4 linked regions of the Anolis sagrei genome follow. The protein of the gene in region 2 interacts with the protein of the main gene of each other region in a biochemical or structural test. Links are inferred from orthologs where the notes say so. Each region holds a gene or a part of one and is shown on either strand. Other genes may lie near its edges.

Region 1 (7,565 bases), on a different chromosome or scaffold from region 2:
GAGACTGAAAAAATATAGCAAAATGTGCGGCAAAATGTCCCACGGAAACAAACTTTCACCATGTTTTTGTGATAGAATCATTTTTTTCATCGTGTGAGAGAATTGGCCATCTGCAGGAATGTTGCCCAGATGTGTTACCATCCTGTGGGAGGATTCTCTAAAATCCCTGTATGGGAAGCTGGAGCTGACAGACAGGAGCTCACCTCAAGGATTCAAAACACAGACCTTCAGGTCAGTAGTTCAGCCAGAACAAGGGTTTAACCCAGGCATGGGCATACTTCAGCCCTCCAGTTGTTTTGGACTTCTAACTCCCACAATTCCTAACTGCTTCAGGCCCCTTCCTTTCCTCAAGCTATTAGGAATTGTGGGAGTTGAAGTCCAAAACACCTGGAGGGCTCAAGATTGCCCAGGCCTGAGTTAAATCCATTGTTTCACCTTGGCTCCTAGATAGAACCAATTAGGAAATGGCATTTATAATCCAGGAACAAAACTTGTGTTACATAGTGTAACAGAAAGGAGATCACATTGAAGAGGGTCCAATGCTTGTTTTCTGCTGCTCTGGAGACACAGAGCAATGGATTCAAATTGCAGGGAAAAATATCCCACCTAAACATTAAGGAAGAGTTCCTGATGACAAAAGCTGTTTAATGGTGGGCTAGGCTGCCTGGGAGTGTGGGGGAGTCTCCTTTTGCAGAGGGGGAGCTGGATGGCCATCTGTTTGGAGGGCTTTGGTTTTGTTGTATTTTCCTGCAATGTGGTTGGACTGGGGGGGGGGGGTCTCTTCCAACTCCAGCTGGATATCCAAGAGCAGAAGGAAAATCTAAAGCAGTGTTTCTCAACCTCCCCAATTCCGCGGCCCCTTAATGCAGTTCCTGATGTTCTAGTGACCCCCAACCATAACATTATTTTTGTTCCTACTTCATAACTGTAATGTTGCTACTGTTAGGATTCTGAACCTCACCGATGATAGAATTGGGTCAAACTTCTGACACGGAACCCCCACGACCAACAGAAAATACTGTGTTTTCCAATGGTCTTTGGTGACCCCTAGGTTGAGAAACGCTGACCTAAAGTATTCAACCAACCCAGTGGTTCTCAACCTGTGGGTCTCCAAATGTTTTGGCCTTCAACACCCAAAAATCTTAACAGCTGGTAAATTGCCTGAGTTTTCTGGGAATTGTAGGCCAAAACACCTGGGGACTCACAGGTAGCGAGGCTGGATAGACACTGCTATATAATGCAGTGTGGAGGCTCAGCTGAGTTGAGACCATTTAGGCACCAGGTGTATATATGTATATTTGTGTGCATGTGTATATGTGTGTGTATATATGTATATTTGTACATATATATATATACACACACACACGTGTGTATGAATCTGTGCATGTATTTGAGTGTGTGTATATATGGTGTATTTTGGGGGTTTTTAAGTCTGTTCCGCTGGAGTTTTTTGCGTGTGTGCGTGTTTAGGGGTAATGGACACTCATTGGACTGTTAGGTGTATTGTGTCCAAATTTTGTGTCAATTCGTCCGGTGGTTTTTGAGTCATGTTAATCCCAGAAATGAACATTACATTTTTATTTATATAGACTAATACTACTACTACTACTACTACTACTACTAATAATAATAATAATTTATTATTAGCAACTCGAAAAGCGATTTAAAGATTGAACTGCAAAGACTCTGGCACAAACCAGTCAAGGAGGTCCCAGTGGGGATCAGCACACTGGGTGCAGTGCCTAAAGACCTTGGCCTACACTTAAAAACAATCAGTGCTGCCAAAATTACCATCCAACAGCTGCAGAAGTCCTGCCTACTCAGAAATCCCATGCATTATTTGCTGATATGTCACATAGTCCTAGACTAGTGGTTCTCAACCTGTGGGTCCCCAGATGTTTTGGCTTTCAACTCCCAAAAATCCCAACAGCTGGTAAATTGCCTGGGTTTTCTGGGAATTGTAGGCCAAAACACCTGGGGACCCACAGGTAGCGAGGCTGGATGGACACTGCTATATAATGCAGCGTGGAGGCTCAGCTGAGACTATTTAGCTGAGACCAGGTGGTTGTGAAGGTTCAACAGGGGAAGGAAGGAAGACTACAGACCTTGAGGAAGGAATGGGGCCGGCAGTGGGGAGAAGAGACCTGATCTGAAATGCAGATTTTTGTAGAGGAGCCAGGCCGCTGAGGCGTGGAAAGCGCGCCAAGCTGTCCCTTTACATCCCGCCAAAGGAAGGAATGCATGGGATCAGGGGAGGTGTAGTTCCGCCAAGGTCTTTAGTAGTCTTCTGCTATGAACAGTTGAAGCGATACCAAACTGCATTAATTCTAGTGTTGACTAGGCTTGGGGAAATTTGGGCCCTCCAGGTGCTTTGGACTTCAACTCCCAGCATTCCTAACAGCCTCAGGCCCCTCAGCTTAAGCGGCTGAGGGGGAAAAGGAAGGGGCCTGAGGCTGTTAGGAATGCTGGGAGTTGAAGTCCAAAGCACCTGGAGGCCCAAATTTCCCCAGGCCTGGTTTAGCTGTACCTGAAGGGGTCCCAAAGCCCAAAAAAGGCCTGAACTGGGCACCAGGCCTCAAGAGGCCCTCTTAGCCAGAGGAGGCGGAACTACAACTCCTATGGCTCTGGGAGCATCCTGCACGAGCCCAAAATGGCGGCCGAGCAGGCCCAAGCGTCCCTGCTCCCCTTCCTTCCCTAGGCGCCTCTACCTGGACCGGGTCCGAGGAGCAGCGCTGGTTGGCCTGCAGCAGCCCCAACGCCAGCCGCTGCCCTTGCCCTCCCGGGAGCTTGGCCGAGGCGCCACCATCCTTCACCGCCGGGGGAATGTTCTCCTGGTTCTCCAGCTCCGAGGCGGCAGCAGCGGTGGCGTCCGTCAGCATGATATGATGGGATAGAGAGGAGGCTCCTGCTCCGGCGGCGGCACAAGCTCAATGGAAAGGCTCGGCGTCCGTGGCTCTTGCACTTCCACCGTTCAAGTAGCCCGCGAGGATTGAATCGGCCAATAGGGAGGGAGAACGCCCTGACGTCACTGCTTACGGGAGCCCGCGAGGGTCGAGAAGTCGGTTTGAAAGGAATTAGCGGGAGGAGGGGATTGGCTGGCGGGGAAGGGGGCGGTCACGTGGCTATAAATAAGCAGTCACTTAGGCTGAAGACAGGTGGCGAGCGGGGTTTCTGTCATTACCTTCCTCGGAAAGACAGGAAACCTCCAGGGAGGTTCCTTATTGATTCCTCACACTAGAATACTTGCTGTGAATTATTTCTCTTTTTTGTTTATGTAGGTGCTATGGATATATATTATTACTATTATTTTTATAAGTTACTATTTTATATCATGACATTACATTTATTATATACTAGCTGTCTCCTGCCACACTTTGCTGTAGCCCAGCCTGTGTATATGTTTTATGTGTATATAATAATTGGCTCCACTGGCTGCCAATTAGCTTCCGAGCACAATTCAAAGTGCTGGTGTTAACCTATAAAGCCCTAAACGACTCCGACCCAGTTTACCTGTCCGAATTCCGTTCTCCCCTATGAACCATCTAGGTTGTTAAGATCATCTGGAGGGGCCCTGCTCTCAGTCCCACACCCACCTGGTGGGGATGAGGGACAGGGCGTTCTCGGTGGTGGCCCCTCGACTCTGGAACTCTCCCACTGGAGATCAGAACTGCCCCCCCCCCCCCATTCTGTCGTTCAGAAAACAGGTGAAAACCTGGCTATGGGGTTTGGCTTTCGACGAGTGAATCAATATTTCTGTGATCGGATGGATGACGATGAATGACGGACAACGAATTCACTATGACGACTGACCATTGTTATTATGTGATTGCATTTTGCCGTTTTAACATTTTAATTGAATATGTTATATGACGTTTTTAATGATTGTTTTGTGATATTATTGTTGGAAACTGGCCCGAGTCCCCCGATAGAGGGGAGAAGACCGGTATACAAAATTGCTAAATAAATAAATAAATAAAATATAATAATAATACTTTATTTATACCCCGCTACCATCTCCCCAAGGGACTCATTGCGGCTTACATGAGGCCAAGCCCACAGTACATCAGTAAACAAAGGCAATAACAAAAACAATAAATACAAAACAGTTAATATAAATCACATAAACAAAAACAAAAAAACAATAACAGTAACTCACAAGCATTTAAAAACCTATGGCCGGGCCAAATGTATTAATTTAAAATTTAAAAAATAATGCTGGGTATGAACAAGGTAGGATATAACAGAAATAGGGTTTTTCAAAGAGAGATGAGGAAACGCAGTCGATCCTAAATCAATGGTAAAGTGCATTTTGAGGGCATATTGCTAACAGTTTTCCTTATATATATATATATATATATATATATATATACATATACATATATATATATAGGGGGTTGTATATGTGTGTATATATATTTGTGTATTTGTTTTTATGTGTACATGCATATTGTGTATATGTGTGTGCTTGACTATATACATATTTGTGTGTATGTATGTATGTATTTAGAATATTTGTACCCCACCCTTTTCAACCCCCTGAAGGGGGACTCAGGGCGGCTTCCAGCAAGCAACAATTTGATGCCTCAATGTACACATAATAAAATACATAACAAAACCAATAATTATATATAATTAAAAATATTAAGTCAATACAATAAAAAATTACTAATTGTAAATTAAGAACAAAAAATAAACTTCTTAAATATTGTGACTTTTGGGCCCATCCTGTATTTATTTATTATGTTTTCTTTATGATATTTTATTTATTACACACATATATATGGTCATACGTACCACATTTCTTCTATTTTAAGACACCATCAGTTGTAAAAGGAACACTGATTTCAATACTACCAACAGAAATTAAAAGCTTTATTTACATAAAGAAAAAAACATTGAGCCATGGCAGGTAAAGTGCTGTCAAACTGCATAAATGCTGCAGTGTAGATAGAGCCTTATATATCTTCATGCGACAAAGGTACGGTCCTTTTCCTGTCTCCTTGCTATACTTTGAGCTCTGATGGACCTTGTATCTTCCATCTTGCTTTCTCTTCAAAGGCATAAAGATCTGATATTCATCACACACAAAAGGCCACAAAAGTTCATGCTATAGTTGAAAAAATTTATTTATCAAATTGATTCCGACCTAGCACAGAGTTATATTTCCAATAAATAACTTTTATCCTATTTACACATGTAATAGTCTATAGCCGACAAAGTTCTATATACAGACTGGGAATTACATTATCAAGAGCAATTTTCTTTAGTGACTGGCTAATGCAGGGCACCGTTGCCATGCCAGTGCATAAATAGCAAGAACAAAGGCCTCATCTATACTGTCAAATAAAATCCAGATTATCTGTTTTGAACTGGATTATATGGCAGTGTAGACTCATACAATCCAGTTCAAGCAGATAATGTGGATTATCTGCTTTGATAATCTGGATTTTATGGCAGTGTAGAAGGGACCTAATAGTGTTGATATGGAATGTGTGATTATCAGAACTGCATTTCCAACCTAATCTATACTGGGAAGAATGATACATGCAATCTGTTACACCAATCTCAGAATTTTCTTTGTAGCTGGCAAGCAAAATACTACTTTGGCCCCTTCTACACTGCCAGATTATCCAGATTATCATAGTAGATAATCCACATTATTTGCTTTGAACTGGATCATATGAGGCCCCTTCTACACCACCATAAAACCCCCAGATAATATATATTTATAGATATGAATGTATATTTGTCAAAGAAAAAGGAATAAAACTAAATCAACATACACTAGCATTTTGGAGAAGAGGTCAATATAAGAATCATTAATATTAAGGATGAATATATGTCCCATGCATGTGGGTGCTTGTAGAGATTACATGTATAAAATATTTGATTAATTGTTTAACTGGTTTACTGTATGTTTTCTGTAAATGTTTGTTGTGTGTGATATTAATAAATAATAATAATAATAATAATAATAATAATAATAATACCCTGATTACCTACTTTGAACTGGATTATATGGCAGTGTAAACTCATATAATCCAGTTCAAAGCAGATAATGTGGATTATTTGCTTTGATACCCTGGATTTTATATAACAGTTTAGAACGGGTCTTTGTCTTTTGCACAAAATGCATGTAGTTACAGATTCAAAACCCTTAATTTTTACTAGGCTCAATCAGAATCCACAATCAGACTCTTTAAAAGCTAGTGAACTGAAAACATTTTACATGTCCTTTTAAAATTAAGGTTGTGTAAAATGTATTTAGAGTATATATGCCAGTCCTACCAATTGTTATTAAGTCACATTTCCCATATATTATGTATGGAATGTTCTTGGTAAATACCATTTCTAAATATATATATATATACATAATAAATGTAAGTTTTATTCACTAACAATTATTATTATATTTAAAATGATGTAAACAAAGATCTGGATTTGCTGATCTGCATCCTCTACATTCACTTTAGAGATTTCATATTGGTTTCTATACTTCCAGTTCATGAAGCACTATCAAAAAAGGCAAGCAATGTGTTTTGATCATAGCTTCCCAAAATTTCCAGCAGAAGAGGAACTTTGGTTTTCACATTAGTGCCTTTAAATTTAAATTTATCTATGAACAGATCTGTAATCATACCTGAAAATAAAAGAAAAGGAAATTAGTATTATTTTCAGAAGACTGATAAAAAAAAAACAAAAATAAGAGAAGTACTTCATATACAAAATTAAGGGTGAAAAGTCAAGTATTTTACATTGAAGAGCTATCACTGGAATCATTTTGCATCACATGCAGCATGTAGCAAAATGTCTAGTAAGACTCAGCATCTTTTCTAACCACTAAACTCAATGGTAAGTTTGTCATACATTTCAGTGGAAAATATTCTGCACCATATGTTCAGCAATGAGGCCTTGCATTAGCATGGATCAACATTCACACTATTATTTTAGTTTCAATTAGTACCAGATACATAGTTTTTGTTCTTGAGTAAATGCAGAGTCCCCCACAACAGCTGCAATTCACCATCAGCTCTGATACACAGCTTGGATGCTAAAGGTGGAATCCTATTGAAACAATGCACTAGCACAGCTGCTGATGTATGGACTTGCGTAAGAAAACGTCAGAAACCATCTTATACAAGCCATTCCCTGGTGCAAAACCATCCTTAGTGCTACCAATCTGGCACTGCAGCACAACATCTACTGCTTCCCACTATACTGTATTATTTATTATTTACTGTATTTATACCCTGCCTTTCTCACCCAAAGGGGACTCAAAGAGGCTTACATGTAGGCAACAATTTAATGCCAAATAAACAGACACACAAATAAAACACATATGCATAAAAACCAAAAAGTTAAAAACATCTAAACAGTAAAACCAAAAATTAAAGTCACACAGTTTTGTAGGGTCACATCTCTACATTTACATAGTCTTCCACTCCACTTGTAAAGCTAGACTTCTGCATTGATGAACTCAAACTGTATGTGCATAACAAAGTACACAATCCTGATTTTCGTTTGAAATGATGGACAGTACAACTGCAGTTTGAGAGACATCACAT
Region 2 (7,284 bases):
CAGAGAGGCCCTAGATCCCAGGATCTGATCCCAGGTATTCTGTTTACTCCAGATTATCTGGCACTGCAGACTGATAGGTCCCTTCCACACAGGACTATATCCCAGAATATCAAGGCAGAAAATATCGCAATATCTGCTTTAAACTGAGTTATCTGAGTCCATGCTCAGATAATGTGGGATTTTCTGCCTTGATATTCTGGGATATAGGGCTGTGTGGAAGGGACCATATAATCCAGTTTAAAGCAGAAACCTGAGATCAGATCCTCGGATATAGGGTCTGTCTGGAAGGGCCCTAAGTTAGGCTGCACTAGAAAAATAATGCAGTTTGACACCATTTTAAGTGACAGAGAACAATGCTATTGAATCATGGGATTTGTAGTTTGGTGAGGCATAGAAGGTAATCTGGGCAAAGAAGGTTCAAGGTCTTGTTCAAATAACCCCTAGACATTGAGCCATGGCAGTTAAAGTGGCATCAAACTGCATTAATTCTACAGCATAAATGCACCCCAGGAGAAAGGATAGCTCTGTTTTATGCGTGTGAGGAAACACACAGATAAGGCCAAAGGGCGGAAGCGAGGCCTGGGAAAACCCCCAAGTGCATGTCACATTTCGTTTCCAAGGGCCCTTCCACATAGTCATATGACCCAGAATATCAAGGCAGAAAATCCCACAATATCTGTTTTGAACAGGGTTATATGGGTCCACACAATACTGCAGTTCAAATCACATAATGCTGGATTTTATTCACCTGTGTGGAAGGAGCCTCAGGGCCCTTCCACACAGCCATATAACCCAGAATATCAAGGCAGAAAACCCCACAATATCTGCTGTGAACTGGGTTATCTGAGCTCACACTGCCATATATCTCAGTTAAAAGCAGAAAATGTGGGATTTTATTCAGATGTGGAAGAGGCCTCAGACTGTCTGGCAACATATATCTGATTCCTACAGACAGAAGAAGCCTAAGGGCCCTTCCAGACAGGCCCTATATAGCAGGATCTGACCCCAGGTTTTCTGTTTATCCCAGATTATCTGGTCGTGGGGACTCATATAATCCAGTTTAAACCAGAAAACCTGGGATCAGATACTGGGATATGGGGCCTGCCTGGAAGGTCCCTAAAAAGGACACAGTGGACGGTTGGTGGGCTCTTGCATTTTAGGATCTGAGTTTCCTTCCAGTCCCTAGTTGTCCTCAGCGAGGCATTGGGAAGAAGCCCACTCCCCTCCCACAAGGCCTGGACTTTGAGCCCAGCCCCTCATTCCAGTTGAGGCCCTTCCACACAGCCCTTTATCCTGTAATATCAAAGCATAAAATCCAACAATATCTGCTTTGAACTGGGTTACCTGAACCCACACTGCCATATATTCCAATTCAAAGCAGATAATGGGGGATTTTCTGCCTTGATATTCTGGGATATAGGGCTGTGTGGAAGGGCCCTGAGCCGAAACTGTGGAACTGTAAAGCAGTGGCACAATGGGTTAAACCAGGGGTCCTCAAACTAAGACCCGAGGGCCAGATACGGCCTTCCAAGGTCAATTACCTGGCCCTCGCTCAGGGTCAACCTGAAACCTTGAAAGCACACAACAACAATCCTATCTCATCAGCCAAATGCAGGTCCACATTTCCTATTGAAATACTAATAAATTTATATTTGTTAAAACTGTTCTTCATTTAATTATTGTATTGTTTTTAAGCATTGTTGCACTACAAATAAGATATGTATAATGTGCATAGGAATTCATATTTTTTCAAATTATAATCTGGCCCTCCAACAGTTTGAGGGATTGTGACCTGGCCCTCTGTTTACATAGTTTGAAGACCCCTGGGTTAAACTAGCACTCTGTTTAAAAACTTTGCGGACCCCTGGGTCAAACCCTTGTGCCGCCAGGACTGAAGACCTACAGGTCGGAGGTTCGAATCCGGGGTGAGCGCGGATGAGCTCCCTCTGTCAGCTCCAGCGCCCCATGCGGGGACATGAGAGAAGCCTCCCACAAGGATGGTAAAACATCCAAACATCCAGGCGTCCCTTGGGCAACATCCTCGCAGACGGCCAATTCTCTCACACCAGAAGCAACTTGCAGTTTCTCAAGTCGCTCCTAACACGAAGAAAAACCCACTTTAAGCCGCCCGTTTCGCAGTTTGGTGAGGCGCCAACCAACAGCCAAGGCAAGGCTTTTGAGGCCTTGTCAAAGGGACACCTCGGAGGAATCCGCAGCACGGAGACGAAACGGCGGTTTAAAATGGCGCCAGGACGGTTTTAAACTCAGATAGAGGCCTACTCTGTAGTGTTTTTTAACCCCCCCCCCCGAAGGCCTTGCCTCTGAGGCTGAGAGAGTGTGACTTCTTCCCAAGCGGGGATCCGAGTCCTGGCGCCCACAAAAAAGGCGCACTCTGCACGTGCTCAGGGGCACTCTGGTGAAAGGCGGCAGCGGGGGGGGGGGGGTTCCATTTAACCCCTGGGTGGGTGGGTGGGTAGTTAAGCCAGCAACACGGAAATACTAACCTCTAACGAAGGTTAACTACACAGAAGTAGTAGGAGAAGGTAGGGACGGCCTTCCTTTTCCTGAGAGACATTCCCACCCGGAACCCTCTCTTCCGGCCTCCTCCTCGTCCTCCTCCCCTCCCAAGAAGCCCCTTCTCCTCCTCCTCTTCCTCCTCCTCCTGGGGCCCCTCCCCGCCACAGGTTGGCCCTGCCAATGCCGTCCCCTCCCCTCGCTTCGCTTCCCCTCCCCTCCCCTCCCCTCCCCTCCCTGGGGGGCTGGGCCAGAGCGCGAGGGAAGGCCGGCGGGAAGCACGCAGGCGGCGCCCCCCTCTCGGCCCGGCCCAAATAGTCCCGTCCTTACCGCTCATGTTGGCCGAGGCGAAGAAGTAGGCGAGCCCAAGCGGCGCCGGAGGGGTGTCCTGGGCGGGGGCAGCGGAGTTTGTGGGACGCGGCTAAGCCTAACCCCCACCGGTGACCGCCAAAGGCCTGCTGAGGGGAGGGAGCTGTGCCCACACAGCCCCCAAGGCCAAGCGCCACGCCTCCCGCCTCTCTCCTCCAATCACAGGCCTCTCTGGGCGTGGCTAGGGATGACTGGCGCCTCGCACAGCCAGTCGCGGAATTACAAAAAAAAAAGAAGGCGTGTGGAAAATGCGGGGAGGGGGGGTGGAAGGGGGAGCAGTTTACCAAAAGCTCTCCTTTCGGGAAACGCCTTTCGAAAGAAGCCCCACCCAAGTGTGGGAGGCGGGGCTTGGAGAGTGTTTGGGAACTGGGAAGTGATGTCGCAACCGACCAATCGGCGACCGCGTCGGGTAGCCCTGTCACGAACTCGTCCGACTCAACTGCCTGGCGTCCAATCAAGAGACGAGGCCTTTCCGTCATGGAGAGGAAGGCGGGGACTGACAGGACGATTAGCCAATCGGCATCACGAGCGTTTCAGAGCGAAGGATTGAGCAGCCAGAGAGCAGCAAGGAGAGAGGAGGCGGAAACAGTGCCTGCTCCAATGAGGATCGAGGATGGCCTTGAATTATCCAATGGGAATGGCTGCTCATTTGGGCCATTGGAACAGGGTGACGGGCGTTGGCGCCATTTTAGCTCGGGCCTACTCCACCCCCCTTCCTCCATTTGACGAAGGGATTATGCAACCAGAACTGACGTCGGTCGTTTTTCCTCCCTTGAGGCTCGTTGGAGAAATGCTCACTTCCGGTCATAATGTAAGAGGCGCCGCTGAGGTGGCTTCCTTCGTGTGCCACGACGCCCCCCCCCCTCCACACCATAATCAGTGGGTGCTCAAGACCTTCTATATGTGTGTGAATATATACACAGTGGTGCAACTGTTTGGTCTGCCCCTGACACGATAAATAAATAGTGTAGTGAAATTGACTCCCATGTATAGAAGGGCCAAATCAGCTTTTGCTTTTGAGAGTGACATCCTGGATTATTTGTAAGCAGTGGATGGTGGAGTCTGTGGATACGGAGACCTGTCTATACCTTGTCGAATTAGTGCAGTTTGACATCACGTAATAATGGCTACGTCTCGATCCTATGAAATCATGGGAATTGTAATTTGAGGCCTACTCAGCCCTCTTTGGCACAGAAGGCGAAAGACCTTGTAAAACTATAACTCCTATGGTTTCATAGCATTGAGCTGTGGAAGTGGATCAAACTACATTATTTCTAGAGTTAACGCCGGCAAATGGAGGGAGGTAGATATAATTAGCTTGTTTATAAAGCTATTGTCCTCCCAACCCTGCTATACGCCTGTGAAACGTGGACAGTCTACAGACGTCACATGCAACTCCTGGAATTATTCCATCAGCACGGCCTCCAAAAAATCCTGCAAATCTCTTAGGAAGACAAGCGGACAGCGTGCTGGAAGAAGCAAAGACCACCAGCACTGAAGCGATGGTCCTCTGCCATCAACTCAGCTGGACCGGCCACGTTGTCCGGATGCCCGACCACCGTCTCCCAAAGCCGTTGTTCTACTCCGAACTCAAGAACGGAAAACAGAATGTTGGAGGATAGGAAAAGAGATTTAAAGACGGGCTCAAATCCAACTTTAAAAACTCTGGCATAGACACTGAGAACTGGGAAGCCCTGGCTCTTGAGTGCTCCAGTTGGAGGTCAGCTGTGACCAGCAGTGCTGTAGAATTTGAAGAGGCACGAATGGAGGGGGAAAGAAAGAAACGTGCCAAGAGGAAGGCACGTCAAGCCAACCCCAACGGGGGCCACCTCCCACCTGGAAACCAATGCCCTCACTGTGGGAGAAGATGCAGATCAAGAATAGGGCTCCACAGTCACCTACAGACCCAGAACACCGAGCTTGGAAGACCATCATCCTCGGACTACGAGGGATCGGCTGAGTAAGTAAGATATAATTAGGCTTTCCTTCGTTTGTTTTCAGAGCATTCCATGGGATTTTAAAGACAAATACAAGATGAGAACATCGCTTTGACTAGGAGCAAAGAGATCCTAGTCAAATCTCTTTGACTAGGAGATTGCATGTGATCAAAGATCCCACTCAAGGTCACACTGAAGTCCAGAATGCCTTGAATTGGTCCACTCAGGCGTATTACAGTGAAGGGCCCAAAGACATTGACACCAAAATACAACATCGTCTTAGCTCTGCAAGTGCAGCACTTTCTCAAATGAAGCAGAGAGTGTTCGAGGACCAGGACATCCGTAGGCAGACCAAGGTGTTTGTTTATAAACCTATTGTCCTCCCAACCCTGTTATATGCCTGCAAAATGAGACGTCTACCAATATTATACTCGACTCCTGGAATGATTCCATCAGTGTTGCCTCCAAAAAAAATCCTGCAAATCTCTTCAGAAGACACGTGGACAAATGTCAGCATGCTGGAAGAAGCAAAGACCACCAGCATTGAAGCAATAATCTGCTGCCATCAACTCCACTGGACTGGCCATGTTGTCTGAACACACGATCACCATCTCCCAAAGTTACTATACTCCCAACTGAAGAACAGAAAATGGAAGGTTCGTGGACAGGAAAAGAGATTTAAAGATGGGCTTAAAGCAAACCTTAAAAACTGTGGCATAGACACTGAGAACTGGGAAGCCCTGGCCCTTCTCTAACTGGAGGTCAGCTGTGAGTAACAGTGCTATGAAATTCAAAGAGGCACGAATGGAGGGCAAAAGGGAGAAATGTGTCAAAAGGAAGGCATGTCAAAAGGAAGGCATGGGTCGTCTCTCTGGGATGGGCCTTGGGGGCACGGTTCTGTCGTGGCTCCAGTCCTTCCTGGAGGGACGAACTCAGATGGTGAAGCTGGGTGACGCCTGCTCGGACCCCTGGCCTTTGACCTGTGGGGTCCCGCAAGGCTCTATTCTGTCTCCCATGCTCTTCAACATCTACATGAAACCGCTGGGAGAGGTCATCCGGGGTTTTGGAGTTGGGTGCCATCTCTACGCAGATGACACACAACTCTACTACTCCTTTCCACCTAACTCCAAGGAGGCTTCCCAGGTGCTAGACAAGTGCCTGGCCGCTGTGTCGATCTGGATGAGGAAGAACAAGCTGAAGATCAATCCCGATAAGACAGAGGTCCTCTTGGTCGATCGTAAGCCGGATCGGGGTATAGGGTGGTTACCTGTGTTGGACGGGGTTACACTCCCCCTGAAACCTCAGGTCCGCAGTTTGGGTGTCCTCCTGGATTCTTCGCTTACACTTGAGGCTCAGGTGTCGGCGGTATCCGGGAGGGCTTTTGCGCAACTGAGACTCGTGCGCCAACTGCGACCATACCTCGTGAAGGCTGATCTGGCCGGGGTGGTCCATGCCTTGGTCACCTCTAGAATGGACTACTGCAATGCGCTCTACGTGGGGCTACCCTTGAAGACGGCTCGGAAACTGCAGCTGGTCCAACGTGCAGCAGCCAGAATGCTAACTGGAGCTCATTATCAAGAGAGGTCTACCCCTCTGTTCAAGGAGCTCCACTGGCTGCCTTTCATCTTCCGAGCCCAATTCAAGGTGCAGGTGCTCACCTATAAAGCCCTAAACGGTTTGGGACCACCCTACCTGCGTGACCGTATCTCCATCTACGAACCTACACGCTCGCTTCGATCATCTGGGGAGGCCCTGCTCGTGATCCCGCCTACGTCGCAAGCGCGTTTGGTGGGGACGCGGGACAGGGCCTTCTCCGTAGCGGCCCCCCGACTCTGGAACGCCCTCCCAAAAGATCTCCGACAGGCCCCTACACTAGCAGTTTTCAGAAGGAACCTGAAAACTTGGCTGTTCCGTTGTGCCTTCCCGGATTAGGAACCCCCATCCCAAGTCCTAATAGCACTTTAGCACAGTTAATATTGCTGCACACCGTACTTTAATCCCGACGCCCCTCCTACCATTTCAGCACTTTTAACCTTGTACCTCTCACCGGCCGAACCAGTTTTTAATATGTCCTGATGTATAGTTACTGTTGTATTGCTAATTTTGATTTGATTTGTTTTTGCTTTTTAATTTGCTTTGTTTATTGTTTGTTATGTTTTCTATTGTATTGTGTTTGTGGCTTCGGCCTGTGTAAGCCGCATCGAGTCCTTCGGGAGATGCTCGCGGGGTACAAATAAAGTTAATAATAATAATAATAATAATAATAATAATAACAACCCTAGTCAGAACCATATTCCACCTGGAAAATGATGTTCTCACTGTGGAAGAACATGCAGGTCAAGAATAAGCCTCTACAATGAGCTGTGGATCCACCTCCAAAACCCTACACTTGGAAGGCAATCATACTCGGACATGAGGGATCACCGATGAATGCAGGCATCCTCAACCTGTGGCCCTCCAATTC
Region 3 (7,679 bases), on a different chromosome or scaffold from region 2:
AGGTAAAGGTTTCCCCTTGACATTAAGTCTAGTCATGTCTGACTGGGGGGTGGTGCTCATCTTCCTATCTAAGCCAAAGATCCAGCGTTGTCCGTAGACACCTCCAAGGTCATGTGACCAGCATGACTGCATGGAGCGCTGTTATCTTCCTGCAGAAGCGGTACCTATTAATCTACTCACATTTCAATGTTTTCAAATTGCTAGGTTGGTAGAAGCTGGGGCTAATAGTGGGAGCTCATTCCGCTCCCTGGATTTGAGCTGCAACCCTTCGGTCAACAAGTTCAGCAGCTCAGCGGATTAAAATTCACTAAAGTTCATCTAGTAGGTTGAACACATTCCCCAATTTCTCAGGATATAAACTTTAGAATTCCATCGTAATTGAGAACTATTGGAGCCCCTGGTGGCACAGTGGGTTAAACCGCTGAGCTGATGAACTTGCTGACCAGTGAGCTCCCAATGGTAGCCCCAGCTTCTGCCGACCTAGCAGTTTGAAGACATGCAAATCTGAGTAGATTAATAGGTACCGCTTCTGCAGGAAGGCAACAGTGTCTATGGACAATGCTGGCTCTTTGGCTTAGATATGAAGATGAGCACCACCCCCCAGTCAGGCATGACTAGACTTAATGTCAAGGGGAAACCTTTACCCTAATTCAGAACTGCCCACTAATGTAATATATCTTTCAGGCTAATCCTGTGGCTTTCTGGAATATTGGCATAATATACTAAAAAAAGCCACAATACGATCAGAGTAATAAATGATCCCTGTTCAGACTTAATGATTTTGCATTTCCAATATATTATCATTTAGTGATTAGGTATAATTATCATATGGAGAGGATGTGTCTCATTAACTCTAGAAACACAAGAAAAATGTCTATTAAAACTAGGCACGAGTAAGCATTGACTCCTTATGCAGAAGGCAGTCTGTCAATAAAGAGCCCTTGCAACGAAGGTGTTGATCAAATGTGGGAAAGAAGGGGTAAGATTCTTATTTAGACTAACCTTATCTAGATGGCCTTGGATAAGCCAGATTCCCAGGTAAGAGACAGATTGGTACAAGGCCATCCAACAAGTTTTAGGCGGAGGTGGGAGTCTTAAAAAGTCACTCCTATTCAAATGTAACATTCCCATTTATTGGCTAGAGCACTTTACTAGGGGAATCCTTTGTTGGGAGGTACCTGAAGGCCAAATATTGTCACCCAGGAAGATGGGAGTATTGGCTGCTTGTTGCCTGGGGGAGTACTTTGGTGGGAGGTACCTGAAGGCCAAATATTGTTACTCAGGAAGATGGAGGCAGTTGTGCAGTATGGACAGGATGGACTTGAAGCTTCAAATGTCATACATGTTCAGCATAGGTTCATCTTGCATACCCATTTATTCAGACAGGGGACATACATGAGAGCAATATTGTGAGTGCAATTTGTGCCTAAATTGCAGCAAAATGATCACACCTTACATTGCTTCTGTATTTGAGGATCTTCAGTTTGTATAAATGCTGAAGTAGCAATGCTGACCATAATATTTACACTTAGGTGTGCACTTACTACTTCATCACACTAGAGAATGAATCCACATTAAATCCTGTTTCTGCCTCCTGCAGAATTCTGGAGGTTGTTGTTTAGGGAGGCTGTTGAAGGATCCTCCCTAAACTACAAATCCCAGAATTCTGAAGGAGTCAGAAACCAGATTTAAAGTGGATTCAGTCTCTAGTGTGTTGAGGTCCTTAATTCTTCAGTTATCACTGAGTTTAGGACTGCAGCTTACAATAAGGCATTGAGGCAAGAGTGATAGAAGGCACAAAAACACAGAAGGATGGAACAAATTTGAAAACTAGCATGTACTGGTTTGAGTGTTGGACTAGGGGTGCTTCCAGACAGCACCAAATCACTGATTTTCCATGCGGGGCAAAAAAAACCCCCGCATGTCCGCACAGAGACCTGTGCAGTATGGACTTAGCCTGGCTGCTTGTTACCCAGGGGAGTCCTTTGTTGGGAGGTGCCTGAAGGCCAAATATTGTCACTCAGGAAGATGGGGGAAGTCGTGCAGTATGGATTTAGGATGGCCTTGCAGCTCCAAAGCCTGGCTGCCTGTTGCCTAGGGGAGTCCCTTGTTGGGAGATACCTGAAGGCCAAATATTGTCACTCAGGAAGATGGAGTATGGACTGAGGATGGCCTTGCAGCTTCAAAGCCTGGCTGCTTGTTGCCTGGTAAAGTCCTTTATTGGGAGGTACCTGAAGGCCAAGTATTGTCACCCAGGAAGATGGAGTATTGGCTGCTTGTTGCCTGGTGGAGTCCTTTATTGGGAGGTACCTGAAGGCCAAGTATTGTCACTCAGGAAGATGGGGCAGCCATGCAGTATGGAATTAGGATGGCCTTGCAGCTTCAAAGCCTGGCTGCTTGTTGCCTGGGGGAGTCCTTTCTTGGGAGGTACCTGAAGGCCAAATATTGTCACTCGGGAAGATGGGGGCAGTCGTGCAGTATGGACTTAGGATGGCCTTGCAGCTCCAAAGCCTGGCTGCTTGTTGCCTGGGGGAGTCCTTTGTTGGGAGGTACCTGAAGGCCAAGTATTGACACTCAGGAAGATGGAGTATGGACTTAGGATGGCCTTGCAGCTTCAAAGCCTGGCTGCTTGTTGCCTGGGGGAGTCCTTTGTTGGGAGGTATCGGAAGGCCAAATATTGTCACTCAGGAAGATGGGGGAAGTCGTGCAGTATGGACTTAGGATGGCCTTGCAGCTTCAAAGCCTGGCTGCTTGTTGCTTGGGGGAATCTTTTGTCGGGAGGTACCTGAAGGCCAAATATTGTCACCTAGGAAGATGGAGTATAGACTTAGGATGGTCTTGCAACTTCAAAGCCTGGTTGCTTGTTGCCTGGGGGAATCATTTGTTGGGAGGTGCCTGAAGGCCAAGTATTGTCACTCAGGAAGATGGAGTATGGACTTAGGATGGCCTTTGTTGGGTGGTACCTGAAGGTCAAATATTGTCACTCAGGAGGATGGGGGCAGTCGTGCAGTATGGACTTAGAATGGCCTTGTAGCTTCAAAACCTGGTTGCTTGTTGCCTGGGGGAGTCCTTTGTCGGGAGGTACCTGAAGGCCAAATATTGACACTCAGGAAGATGGAGTATGGACTTAGGACGGCCTTGCAGCTTCAAAGCCTGGCTGCTTGTTGCCTGGGGGAGTCCTTTGTTGGGATGTACCTGAAGGCCAAGTATTGACACTCAGAAAGATGGAGTATGGACTGAGGATGGCCTTGCAGGTTCAAAGCCTGGCTGCTTGTTGCCTGGGGGAATCCTTTGTCGGGAGGTACCTGAAGGCCAAGTATTGTCACTCAGGAAGATTGAGTATGGACTGAGGTGGCCTTGCAGCTTCAAAGCCTGGCTGCTTGTTGCCTGGGGGATGCCTAGGATGGCCTTGCAGCTTCAAAGCCTGGCTGCTTGTTGCCTGGGGGAATCCTTTGTTGGGAGGTGCCTGAAGGCCAAATATTGTCACTCAGGAAGATGGGGGCAGTCGTGCAGAATGGACTGAGGACGGCCTTGCAGCTTCAAAGCCTGGCTGCTTGTTGCCTGGGGGAGTCCTTTGTTGGGATGTACCTGAAGGCCAAGTATTGACACTCAGAAAGATGGAGTATGGACTGAGGATGGCCTTGCAGGTTCAAAGCCTGGCTGCTTGTTGCCTGGGGGAATCCTTTGTCGGGAGGTACCTGAAGGCCAAGTATTGTCACTCAGGAAGATTGAGTATGGACTGAGGTGGCCTTGCAGCTTCAAAGCCTGGCTGCTTGTTGCCTGGGGGATGCCTAGGATGGCCTTGCAGCTTCAAAGCCTGGCTGCTTGTTGCCTGGGGGAATCCTTTGTTGGGAGGTGCCTGAAGGCCAAATATTGTCACTCAGGAAGATGGGGGCAGTCGTGCAGAATGGACTGAGGATGACCTTGCAGCTTCAAAGCCTGGCTGCTTGTTGCCTGGGGGAGTCCTTTGTCGGGAGGTACCTGAAGGCCAAATATTGACACTCAGGAAGATGGAGTATGGACTTAGGACGGCCTTGCAGCTTCAAAGCCTGGCTGCTTGTTGCCTGGGGGAGTCCTTTGTTGGGATGTACCTGAAGGCCAAGTATTGACACTCAGAAAGATGGAGTATGGACTGAGGATGGCCTTGCAGGTTCAAAGCCTGGCTGCTTGTTGCCTGGGGGAATCCTTTGTCGGGAGGTACCTGAAGGCCAAGTATTGTCACTCAGGAAGATTGAGTATGGACTGAGGTGGCCTTGCAGCTTCAAAGCCTGGCTGCTTGTTGCCTGGGGGATGCCTAGGATGGCCTTGCAGCTTCAAAGCCTGGCTGCTTGTTGCCTGGGGGAATCCTTTGTTGGGAGGTGCCTGAAGGCCAAATATTGTCACTCAGGAAGATGGGGGCAGTCGTGCAGAATGGACTGAGGATGACCTTGCAGCTTCAAAGCCTGGCTGCTTGTTGCCTGGGGGAGTCCTTTGTTGGGAGGTGCCTGACACTCAGGAAGATGGAGGCAAGGGAAAGATCCCAAACATGCCCCTCTCCATCACCTCTTTGCAGGAAGGAAGGAAGGGAGGCAGGAATGGAGGGGGTGGGAAGAGGCGCGCCTCCTGACTCAGCCTCCCGCGGGACTTTCCCCAAGGGCTGAGCGAGGCCGGAGGATGCGCACGCCGAGATGACTCCGTCTCCACGCTGCCGGGCACCCGCTGATCACGCGTGGGCCCCGCTCGCCCATTGGCCGGCTGGGCGCACACCTTTGCCGCCCATTGGCCGCCTCTCCGCCCGCCTCGGCCCGGGGACCCGCCACCTGAATGGGAGACAAAAAGAGGGAAAGCGAGGCGGCGCCCAGCACAGCTTGCCTAGAGCCGCCCCGCAGCAGGAGCCATGCTCAACTTCGGAGCCTCTCCTTTGCAGATCGCGGTGAGTAGGACCACCAACCCGGGATATGCCTTGGGAGGGGGAGACACGGACTGCAGCTAGGCAAAGGCAAGGGCTAGCTTGGGCTCTGCCTCCAGGTGTTCTGGACTCCCACTCCCACTATTGCGCACAGCCTCAGGACCCTTCGCTTAAGCGGCTGAGGGGGAAAAGGAAGGGTCCTGAGGCTGTGCGCAATGGTGGGAGTGGGAGTCCAAAACACCTAAGGATCAGCCCAAGTTAGCCCTTGCCTAGCTTAGAAGGAAAAGTAATGATTCTGAGTATGAGAGTCCTAGAAAAAAGCCTTCCTTGCATGCAAAATAAGTTTGCAATGAACATACATTAATAGAGACTGGACGCGACTATTATAAGGGGTATCGGTTGAGATTGGGCGAGGCGGGGGCGGGGCTTGGGAAGCAGTTGTTGTCCAGGAGGGGGCGTGGCCTAGTTCTCAGGAGGGGGCGTGGCCTAAAAAGCCGCGCGCGTTTGGGATTGAGAAGGGGGCGTGGCCCAAGGTGCGGAGGGAGTCTTGATTGGCGCTTAGAGGAGGGCGGGACCCAACAGCCCTGTCCAATCCCCTGTCTGCCATGCATGGGAACACAACCCAAGCACTCTCAACAGATGGCCATCCAGACTGTGTTTTTTCACACCCTCCCAAGACAACATCTTAATACACTATAATAATAATAATAATAATAATAATAATAATAATAATAATAATAAATCCAATCCGCTGTCTGCCCTTCATGGGAATACAGCCCAAGCACTCTCAACAGATGGCCATCCAGTCTGTGTTTTTTCTTCATAAAAAGGTAAAAGTAAAGGTAGTCCCCTGACATTAAGTCCAGTCATGTCTGACTCTGGGGTGTGGTGCTCATCTCCATTTGTAAGCCGAAGAGCCAGCATTGTCCGTAGACACCTCCAAGGTCATGTGGCCGGCATGACTGCATGGAGCACCGTTACCTTCTCGCCGGAGCGGTACCTATTGATCTACTCACATTTGCATGTTTTCGAACTGCTAGGTTGGCAGAAGCTAGGGCTGACAGCGGAAGCTCACACCGCTCCCTGGAATCGAACCTGCGACCTTTTGGTCAACAAGCTCAGCAGCTCAGTGCTTTAACCCACTGCGCCACCAGGGGCCCCACATCTTCATACACAATAATAATAATAATAAGTCCAATCCGCTGTCTGCCCTTCATGGGAATACAGCCCAAACACTCTCAGCAGATGGCCATCCAGACTGTCTTTTTTCAAAGCCAAAAGAAAATACATTACAAAGCATGCACAAAACCACATATATACACATATATGCAAATATATAAACACATATATACACACACAAAACATATACAGACTGGGTCACAGCAACATGTGGCAGGGGATGGCTAGTACTATATAATAATAATACTATATAATAATAATGGGAAGCCTCCCACAAGGATAATAAAACATCAAAAAGATCTGGGCGTCCCCTGGGCGACGTCCTTGCCGACAGCCACTTCTCTCACACCAGAAGCGACTTGAAGTTCCTCAAGTCGCTCCTGACAAGATATATATATATATATATATATATATATATATATCTCACACACACACACACACACACACAAAATACATATGTACAGACTGGGCCACAGCAGTGCATGGCAGGTGATGGCTAGTATTAAATATAATTATTACTGAACATATATAAAGATATAGAATCATAGAATGAAAGAGTTGGAAGAGACCTCATGGGCCATCCAGTCCAACCCCCTGCCAAGAAGCAGGAATAGTGCATTCAAATCACCCCTGACAGATGGCCATCCAGCCTCTGTTTAAAAGCTTCCAAAGAAGGAGCCTCCACCACACTCCGGGGCAGAGAGGCTGTGAGGAATGTGGGAGTCGGAGTCCAAAACACCTAAGGGAGAGCCCAAGTTAGCCGTTGCCTGGCTTAGAAGGAAAAGTAATGATTCCGAGTATGAGAGTCCTACAAAAAAGCCTTCCTTGCATGCAAAATAAGTTTGCAATGAAGACATTCAATGGAACATACATTTATAAAGATTGGACGCGTCTATTATAAGGGGCATCAGTTGGGGTTGGGCGAGGCAAGGGCGGGACTTGGGAAGCAGTTGTTGTTCCACTGCTGAACGGCTCTCACAGTCAGGAAGTTCTTCCTCATGTTCAGATGGAATCTCCTTTCTTGTAGTTTGAAGCCATTGATTCATGTCCTAGTCTCCAAGGAAGCAGAAAACAAGCTTGCTCCCTCCTCCCTGTGGCTTCCTCTCACATATTTATACATGGCTATCATATCTGGACTTAGTGTCAGGGGACTACCTTTACCTTTACCTTATCATATCTCCTCTCAACCTTCTCTTCTTCAGGCTAAACATGCCCAGCTCCTTAAGCCGCTCCTCATAGGGCTTGTTCTTCAGACTCTTGATCATTTTAGTCGCCCACCTCTGGACACATTCCAGCCTGTCAATATCTCTCTTGAATTGTTATTACATTATTGTATAATGTAATAATATAATATAATATATTGTATATACATATATTTATAATATAGTATTATGCAATATAATACTAATAATTATTATATATTATAATTATATATTTATATTACATGTAATACTATTAATAATATTACAATATAATGGTATAGTACAATATAGTAATATTTAATACTGATATTGTATTATGCTAATAACATAATATATTGTATGTATATATATATTTCTCTAGTGAGAGAAAAGCACCACACTAGAGAAAAAATTCCACTTAAAATCAGTAT
Region 4 (7,810 bases), on a different chromosome or scaffold from region 2:
AGTATCTTTTAAATGGTGTTACATTTTAATTTATATCCTAGCCTAATGTAAATGCTGTGGTTATGTGGACAGATGATTATAAGATGGAATTCTATACTGGTTACCAAGCATAAATAAAGATTTGATAAAGAGCACTTCCTGACCAACCTAAGATTAAATGGACTATGAAATCAGGATTTGAAACCCACCTAAGCTATAGAAATCCATTGGGTAACCTTGGGCAAACCGCATTCTCTCACTTTAGATGAAGCGATGGCAAATCTCCTTTGAAGAATGTTATTGCAAAAAAAATAGACTAAGGCAGGGGCACTGTAAATCAGAGTTGAATTAAAAGCATATAACAACAAGAAGAAGGGTAGCAGTGAAATAGTACATATTCCAAATATAGTCTACTCCATTCAAATGCTATATTTAAGGCATCAGACAGGCATATGAGTGTATGCTTAATCATTAATTTTAATGTGAGGTTCCATTAGGTATTTATATCACCATAAATTGGCAGCAACATAAAAACTGCAACATTGCACATTTGTATTCTCAAGAGGGGAGCAAAAGCGTAACTACGTTTCTGAGACCATTGGAGGAATGGAATCAACATCATGGATCCCATTGAGCACTGGGCACTTGATTGCTATGCAACAGAAACCATAATTGTGCAACAGGGCAATGTGTAGAAGTTCATGATACACATCATCACAATTCATTTTAAAAGGTTGTATGTTTTAAATTGTGGGTGGGACAGAGAGCTTTCATTCCAGTGTGTTATTATAACATAAAACTGGGTCTCAAGATGGCTAATCTGCTCACTGTCTGAAACCATTGTTTCACCTCTCAAAAAAGAATGTTTTTCTATTCATCTACAACACACACACACACCATAGTGTTGTAACACACATACATAACAAAAATCTAGTTTAAACCACAGCCCTATTTAATACATTAGAATATCCAACTAAACCAACTATTAATGTATTCTTTTTCATAGTAAATTATTTAATAAATTAAAATGTCAATTGATTAATACTGAAGTCTGAAGACATAAGCTATCTGAAATGATTACAGGTTTAAGGTAAAGTAAAGGTAAAGGTTTCCTCCGAATGTATTCTCCCCTACGAACCATCAAGACCACTAAGATCGTCTGGAGGGGCCCTGCTCTCAGTCCCTCCGCCTGCACAAGCACGGCTGGTGGGGATGAGGGACAAGGCCTTCTCAATGGTGGCCCCTCGACTTTGGAACTCCCTGCCATTAGAGATCAGAACTGCCCCCTCCCTCATGACGTTCAGGAAACTAACAAAGACCTGGTTGTGGAACGCGGCATTTGACAACTGATTTAATTCTTTGCCCACATGAAAGGAGGATGATGAATGGGATTGTGATGGTGTCGGACGATTTGGCTCTTTTAACTGTGATGATAATGTTTTAACGTGTATAGTGCTGATATTTTAACCGTGTAATGAAGTGGCATTGTGTTGTTATTGTATATTTTTTGTATGTTAACACATGTTGTGAACCGGTCCGAATCCCTCTTTGAAGGTGAGAGGGTCGGTATATAAAACCTCGAAATAAATAAATAAATAATAAATAAGTCTAGTTGTGTCTGACTCTGGGGGTTGGTGCTCATCTCCATTTCTAAGCCGAAGGGCCGGCATTGTCCGTAGATGCCTCCAAGGTCATGTGGCCAGCATGACTGCATGGAGCGCTGTTACCTTCCCACCAAAGCATTACCTATTGATCTACTAACATTTGCATGTTTTTGAACTGCTAGGTTGGCAGAAGTTTGGGCTAACAGCGGAAGCTCACCTCACTCCCTGGATTTGGACCACCGACCTTTCGGTCAGCAAGTTCTGCATCTCAGCAGTTTAACCTTATTACAGGTTTAGATTGTGTAAAATCACATTTCCTATTTTTTTCATTGAGAGGTGGCTACCCTCTTTTTTTAAACTAAGGCACTTTCTGTATAAATTCAAAAACTTTCTTCTTATCCAACAGTCAGCTTGGTCCAATAAAAATGTTCATGTTTTGTGTCTCATATTTGGGGTGGAGGAAATATGTCATTGCATGTTAAGACTAATAATATATTTGGGGAAAGGGGAAACCACCACATTGCACAAAGAAAATATATTCAAGAAGACATAATATTTAACAAACTCAAAACATTTACACAAAATTATATGAGCAGTAAAATTCTACCATATCAATTTTAAAAATGTAGCCAAAGCTAAAAGAGAATGCTCAAATAGGCAGTAGGTATAGATGAATAAATGAATAATTTTTTAGCCCTCAAATTCAAAATCATGCTGCATTAAAATGTTAATACATTTTTCTTTGATAGTAAAAATGTTTTATGACTACAGAAGTTTTTTATCATTCCCCAAGCCCCTGTTACAACTTGCAGAGTGTGACTTAATGTCCTTTTAAGTGAAAGGTGCTAATCCTCTGGTTTAAGGCTAGAGTTATTTAGGAATAAGAGAAAACTGCCTTCAGATTGAAACCTTATGTGCAGTTGGTCAAAATGAGATCATGTGATCCTTGCTGTAATCACTTCCTCTTTAGATCCCCGATTGGTTACAGTGGGGGCTGTGGAGGGGGGTGGCACACAAATCTCCAGCAAATAGGAACTGCCGTGCTGTCGGAGCAAATACAGAAGGGAAATTCCTGCAGTGGGCACCTCTGTACACATTTCATAGCATTTCAAATGAATGCCCTTCTCTCTTTTTCCCTTCTTTCTTTTTATGCCACGTTTACACTATGCAAAAAAAATATATTAAAGGACTTCACAAATAAAAGCGACCTTGGGAAAAAGACAGCTGTAAAGAAAGCTTTTTAATTATTTCCCCGGGCACCAGAGTTTATGCTTAGCACATTGAAATGGCAAAGAGCAATAAAAAGGTGAGCATTTGAAGAGCAGAACAGGAAAAGAGCTGAGCTATTTTGACTTACTTTTATCCCAGAAAGAAGTTTCCATTGCTCCTGTGGTCCTGCAATTGGCTGACAGGGTCATGTGACCTTGTAAACGAAAATAGAAAAGCCTCGGCAGAGTGAGACCGAAGGAAGAGAAGGCAGAGGGAAGACATGAACTTTAAAACACACAAGTCATGCCAGCTGTGTTGGCACGCCTATTATGTAGAGCAGAGTTCAGTCTCCTTGCATTTAAATGGGGACATCCAATAAGGAAGATATCTCTCAGTGATAACCCGAGAGGACCTTACTTTTCATTCTCCTCTTGACTCTGAGATGTAGATTTTATTCCCCTCCCCTATTTATATACTAATATTGTTGCTGATGTATTAGGGAGAATTATATGGCCTGCATGACTCACTTCTCAAGAGCATGTGTTCCCTGGTTATGATTCTGATGTATTGCAAAGTCAACAACTGACAACCATATCTATTTCTCACATAACAGCTATTATGTTTTAACCACAATTTATCATTGAAGTGAAAGTTTAAAACTTACCCTTTAGTATCACATTATGCCCGATCTCTGCTGACACTAAAATGTAGCTTTGAAATGACTAAAAAACCAAGGCAGCTACTAAATGCATGCCAGTAATACACTTCAGTGTGTATTTAAGGGCATACAGCACATTAATGAAAATTGCAGGAAAGTTTGAATTCAGTAAAAAAAAAATGGTACTGCAGCAAATGCCAGCTCCACAAAATGCAGCACAAACTGTAGACACTCGACCATACTGAAACACATTAAAAAGATCCCAGAACAGGGGCTGCCGAGAAGCACCCCAAGGGCATGGTTGGGCAGCATGGGGCTAACCCAGCCATGGGCAAACTTGGGCCTTGCAGGTGATTTGGACTTTAACTCCTACCATTCCTAACAGCCTCAGGCCTTTTCCGCTTAAGCGGCTGAGGGGGAGAGCCTGAGGCTGTTAGGAATGGCAGGAGTTGAAGTCCAAACCACCCGCAGGCCCCAAGTTTGCCCATGCCTGGGCCAGTCGGTACCCTGGGAGGGGTAACTGATTATCTTTGCCTCTGCCTGTTCCTTTTTTTTTCCACCCTGTATGCCTCCAGAGGATGGATGCACATCTCTCTGAGAATTTGGGAGGGGGGGGGGGCACAGAGTGGTTTAAGTCCAGGTTCTGTGTTTAATTTAATCATTTTCCTGGTCTCAAATCGGTTCCAGACTAATCCAATCTAATCACTGCAGAGTGAAACTGGTTCCTCCCAAGCTCCACCTTGTAGTTTAAGATCCACCGGGGAGGCCCTGCTCTCAGTCCCACCAGCCTCGCAAATGCATCTGGTGGGGACGAGGGACAGGGCCTTCTCGGTGGTGACCCCTCGCTTGTGGAATTCACTCCCCAGCAAGATTAGATTGGCGTCCTCCCTCCTTTAGGAAAAAATTGAAATCGTAGTTATGGAACAAGGCTTTTAGCTAGCAGGCACAATGGTACTTTGGACATTGAATTGGACCATATGATGATGGTTATAATAATAGAAATGGCTACTATGACTGTTTAATTCATGTTATTGTTTTAATCTATTGTGTATTTATGGTTTTTGTATTATTGTATATTGTGATATTATGACATCAAATTGTTGCCAATGTTAGTTGTTCTGAGTCCCCCCTCGGGAGTTGAGAAGGGCAAGGTAGAAATGTTGTAAATAAATAAATAAATAAATGTGGTAGTGTAGATGTGTTTTATGACTTATTCTTGCACTTCTTTTCTTTTTTCACATTATATTAGCACTACCTGATACATGTTCACATAGTAGGTATTGGATTTTAATTCAGTATATTAATGCAGCTCTAAACAACAGACATAGGTTTGTCTGTACAGGTTTCTTACATCCAATCTAAATAAATTTAAGCAGATATTCATATGCTTTCTAATTCTAATATTACTTCTTAATGAAGATTTCTGCATTTATAAAAAGAAATGCCTTCCAAATTGTCTCTCACCAGTAGAATAATAAGACATGGAGACATAATGTGGTAAGTCTCAGGCAAAGATTCAATAATCCCTGTTCAAATTACAGTTTACTGCCTTGTGTGGTAAAGCCCATAGTAAGCATATTACAGTCATCCTTCCACATTTGCTGTTTCGACTTTTATGGATTTGATTATTCATAGATCTGAGAAAAATTATTCACAGATTTGAATTCTTGGAAATCACTATCTCCTTCAGTGTAACCTTCCTCATGTTATGCTTGAAGATCTTGAGCAGTGCTTCCCAAAGAGTGCAATATTGCCCCCTGGGGGCACTGGAATGATCCGTGAGAGCAGCAGTAGCCTGGGTGCAATGGGGGCAAGCACTTAATAAAAAATAAGGCAGAAGAGGCAACATAAAGATCGAGGAAAATTTTGAAAAACCAGTCATACACGTGTCATCTGTTGTGTAACACAGAGTTAAAGTCGTAATGATTACTTCATTTCCCAAATGAACACACAAAATGCAAGTTCCAACTGGTCACTAGTCAAGTCTGCCGGCGGATCTTAACAGGCAAGTGTTAACAGGCAAGTGCACACATCTGCAAGAATACATTTGTATGAAGACTTGTTATAGAATATCATAGTTCACTACTTAATAGTCACACTTTTCCCCACCTATGAGCTAGCATATGAAGAAGACCCCATGGGCCTCCTCTGCTGGCACACATAGGCAAACAGAACTTACAGGACCTCCTTTGGTTACCGGCAGCTGAGGGAGACCTCATAGGAGTTGCCCACTGGTGTGCATGGGCAAGTGAGGCCTACAGGATCTCCTTTGGCATCTGAGAGAGACCTCATAGGCATTGATCACCCACATGCGACAGTGGGTGAGAATTACGGAGTCTCCTTTGGCTGTTGCCAGCAGCTCACCCACTCACACACCTGCCGAACAGAGCTATGCAGTGTGACCATTAGTGATCACACATAATGATGATGATAATAATAATAATAATAATAATAATAATAATAATAATAATAATTTTATTTCTTACTCGCACCTCCCCATGGCTTGAGGCAGGTCACAGCACAGTAAAAAACATATGAATACTATGAAAATTCTACAAACACACATATTATAATACAGTTCCATAAAAGAGGTAGATAAAACATTTGTATAAAATGCACATTAATCACACAGGACAGAGACAGAGGCAAAACAGGACATGACTTTAAAATTGATGTTTTCAGCTTTCTGAAAGATACAGGTTTTTAGATGGTGTTAAAATTTTAACAGCTGATCTAGCTATCAGAGCTCTTCCAGTAGGTCGTTCCACAGTCTTGGGGCAGCCAATGAAAAGGTCCTCTGGGTGACAGTGGCCAGTCAAGTTCTGGCTGGTTGGTGTAGCCACTCCCATCCCCCAACCAGAGGACCAAAGCATGTGGGGCAGATTGTACTGGAGAATGTTTCTCCTTGACATTAAGTCTAGTCATGTCTGACTCTGGGGGAGGGGGGGTGCTCATCTCCATTTCAAAGCCAAAGAGGCAGTATTATCCATAGACACCTCCTAGGTCATGTGGCCAGCATGATTTCATGGAGCGTCATTACCTTTCTGCAAAAGTGGAACCTATTGATCTACTCACATTTGCATATTTTTGAACTGCTAGGTTGGTAGAAGCTGGGACAATAGCAGGAGCTCACCCCGCTCCCCGGATTTGAACCACCAACCTTTTGGTCAGCAAGTTCAGCAGCTCAGCGGTTTAACCCACTATGCCACTAGAGAGTCCTGTAGGTAACCTGGACCCAAACCATAAAGCAAGTTCTTTAAAATGCATCTAGACAGCCTCATAAAATCATCAAATGTCTGGAAAAATATTAAGGTTAAATTTTCAGTGCAAATGTTCACACAGTTGATTTAAATATCCTGTTGGAATAAATCCATAAACATTTTAAAATCCAATCTCTTCTTGCAAAGATACATGGTGTAGTAAACAACCCTTACCCTTTTTAGAGAAGTATACATTTGTCGAAATTGAATATCCAGATGGCAGATGTTTTTCAGTTTACTGCCATGTCTGTGTGGAAATTACTGTATAAATCAGTAATGCAGACAGTATGCATTGTCTGACCTAAACTGATCTTTTATTTACTAATTTTCTCCAATTAAGTAGTTAAAAAGTTATCCCATCAACATAAGCACAGTTCAGACTGGCAAAAAAAAAATGGCTACAACTACATTGGTTACAGCAATTGGATTGCAGCCTGCATGAGGTCTGCATGTCACTGCTGGACAATGAGCACAACCATCTGGCCCACTGCTGAAGTACCCTGGGATAGCAGCGATGGACTCAAAAGCTCTCCTCCAACAGGGAGCAATGGGGTTTCAGTCAAAGCTTAAGCTACAGCAGACCTGCTTACTCCCCCCCCCCCCCCACACACACACCCCAAACTGCCTGAGTCTAGGTCAGTGTTTATCAACCTCGGGGTCGGGACCCCTGGGTTGCGAGGGGGGAGTCAGAGGGGTCGCTAAAGACCATCACACAACACAGTATTTTCTGTTTGTCATGGGGGTTCTGTGTTTCTTTCATTCTCTCATTGGTGTTCAGAATGCTATTTGATTGTAGGTGAACTATAAATCCCAGCAACTACAACTCCAAAATGGCAAGATCTATTTTCCCCAAACTCCACCGGTGTTCACATTTGGGCATATTGGGTATTTGTGTCAAGTTTGGTCCAGATCCATCATTGTTTGAGTCCACTGTACCCTTTGGATGTAGGTGAACTACAACACCAAAACTCAAGGTCAGTGCCCACCAAACCCTTCCAGTATTTTCTGTTGGTCATGGGAGTTCTTTGTGCCACATTTGGTTCAATTCCATCATTAGTGGAGTTCAGAATGCTTTTTGATTGTAGGTTAACTATAAATCC

What was found.
Region 1: the proteins of SP1 (region 2) and CCNA2 form a complex in vitro, tested with the Homo sapiens proteins (2 studies listed by BioGRID). The link is inferred for Anolis sagrei from reciprocal best matches to the Homo sapiens genes SP1 and CCNA2.
Region 3: the proteins of SP1 (region 2) and KLF10 form a complex in vitro, tested with the Homo sapiens proteins (2 studies listed by BioGRID). The link is inferred for Anolis sagrei from reciprocal best matches to the Homo sapiens genes SP1 and KLF10.
Region 4: the proteins of SP1 (region 2) and ESR1 form a complex in vitro, tested with the Homo sapiens proteins (6 studies listed by BioGRID and IntAct). The link is inferred for Anolis sagrei from reciprocal best matches to the Homo sapiens genes SP1 and ESR1.

What each region holds. Positions count from the first base shown.
Region 1 is NC_090025.1:36,496,797-36,504,361, forward strand, and holds the start of CCNA2 (cyclin-A2), read right to left. Parts: upstream 3,009-7,565; 5' UTR 2,880-3,008; coding exon 2,709-2,879; intron 1-2,708. Other genes in the region: BBS7 (Bardet-Biedl syndrome 7 protein), read right to left, coding at 6,504-6,640. UniProt on the Homo sapiens protein: Cyclin which controls both the G1/S and the G2/M transition phases of the cell cycle. Functions through the formation of specific serine/threonine protein kinase holoenzyme complexes with the cyclin-dependent protein kinases CDK1 or CDK2.
Region 2 is NC_090022.1:190,698,078-190,705,361, forward strand, and holds the start of SP1 (transcription factor Sp1), read right to left. Parts: upstream 3,020-7,284; 5' UTR 2,852-3,019; coding exon 2,845-2,851; intron 2,610-2,844; exon of another isoform or gene 2,505-2,609; intron 1-2,504. UniProt on the Homo sapiens protein: Transcription factor that can activate or repress transcription in response to physiological and pathological stimuli.
Region 3 is NC_090024.1:30,001,679-30,009,357, forward strand, and holds the start of KLF10 (Krueppel-like factor 10), read left to right. Parts: upstream 1-4,661; 5' UTR 4,662-4,876; coding exon 4,877-4,912; intron 4,913-7,679.
Region 4 is NC_090021.1:72,370,544-72,378,353, forward strand, and holds the start of ESR1 (estrogen receptor), read right to left. Parts: upstream 3,017-7,810; 5' UTR 3,002-3,016; coding exon 2,941-3,001; intron 1-2,940.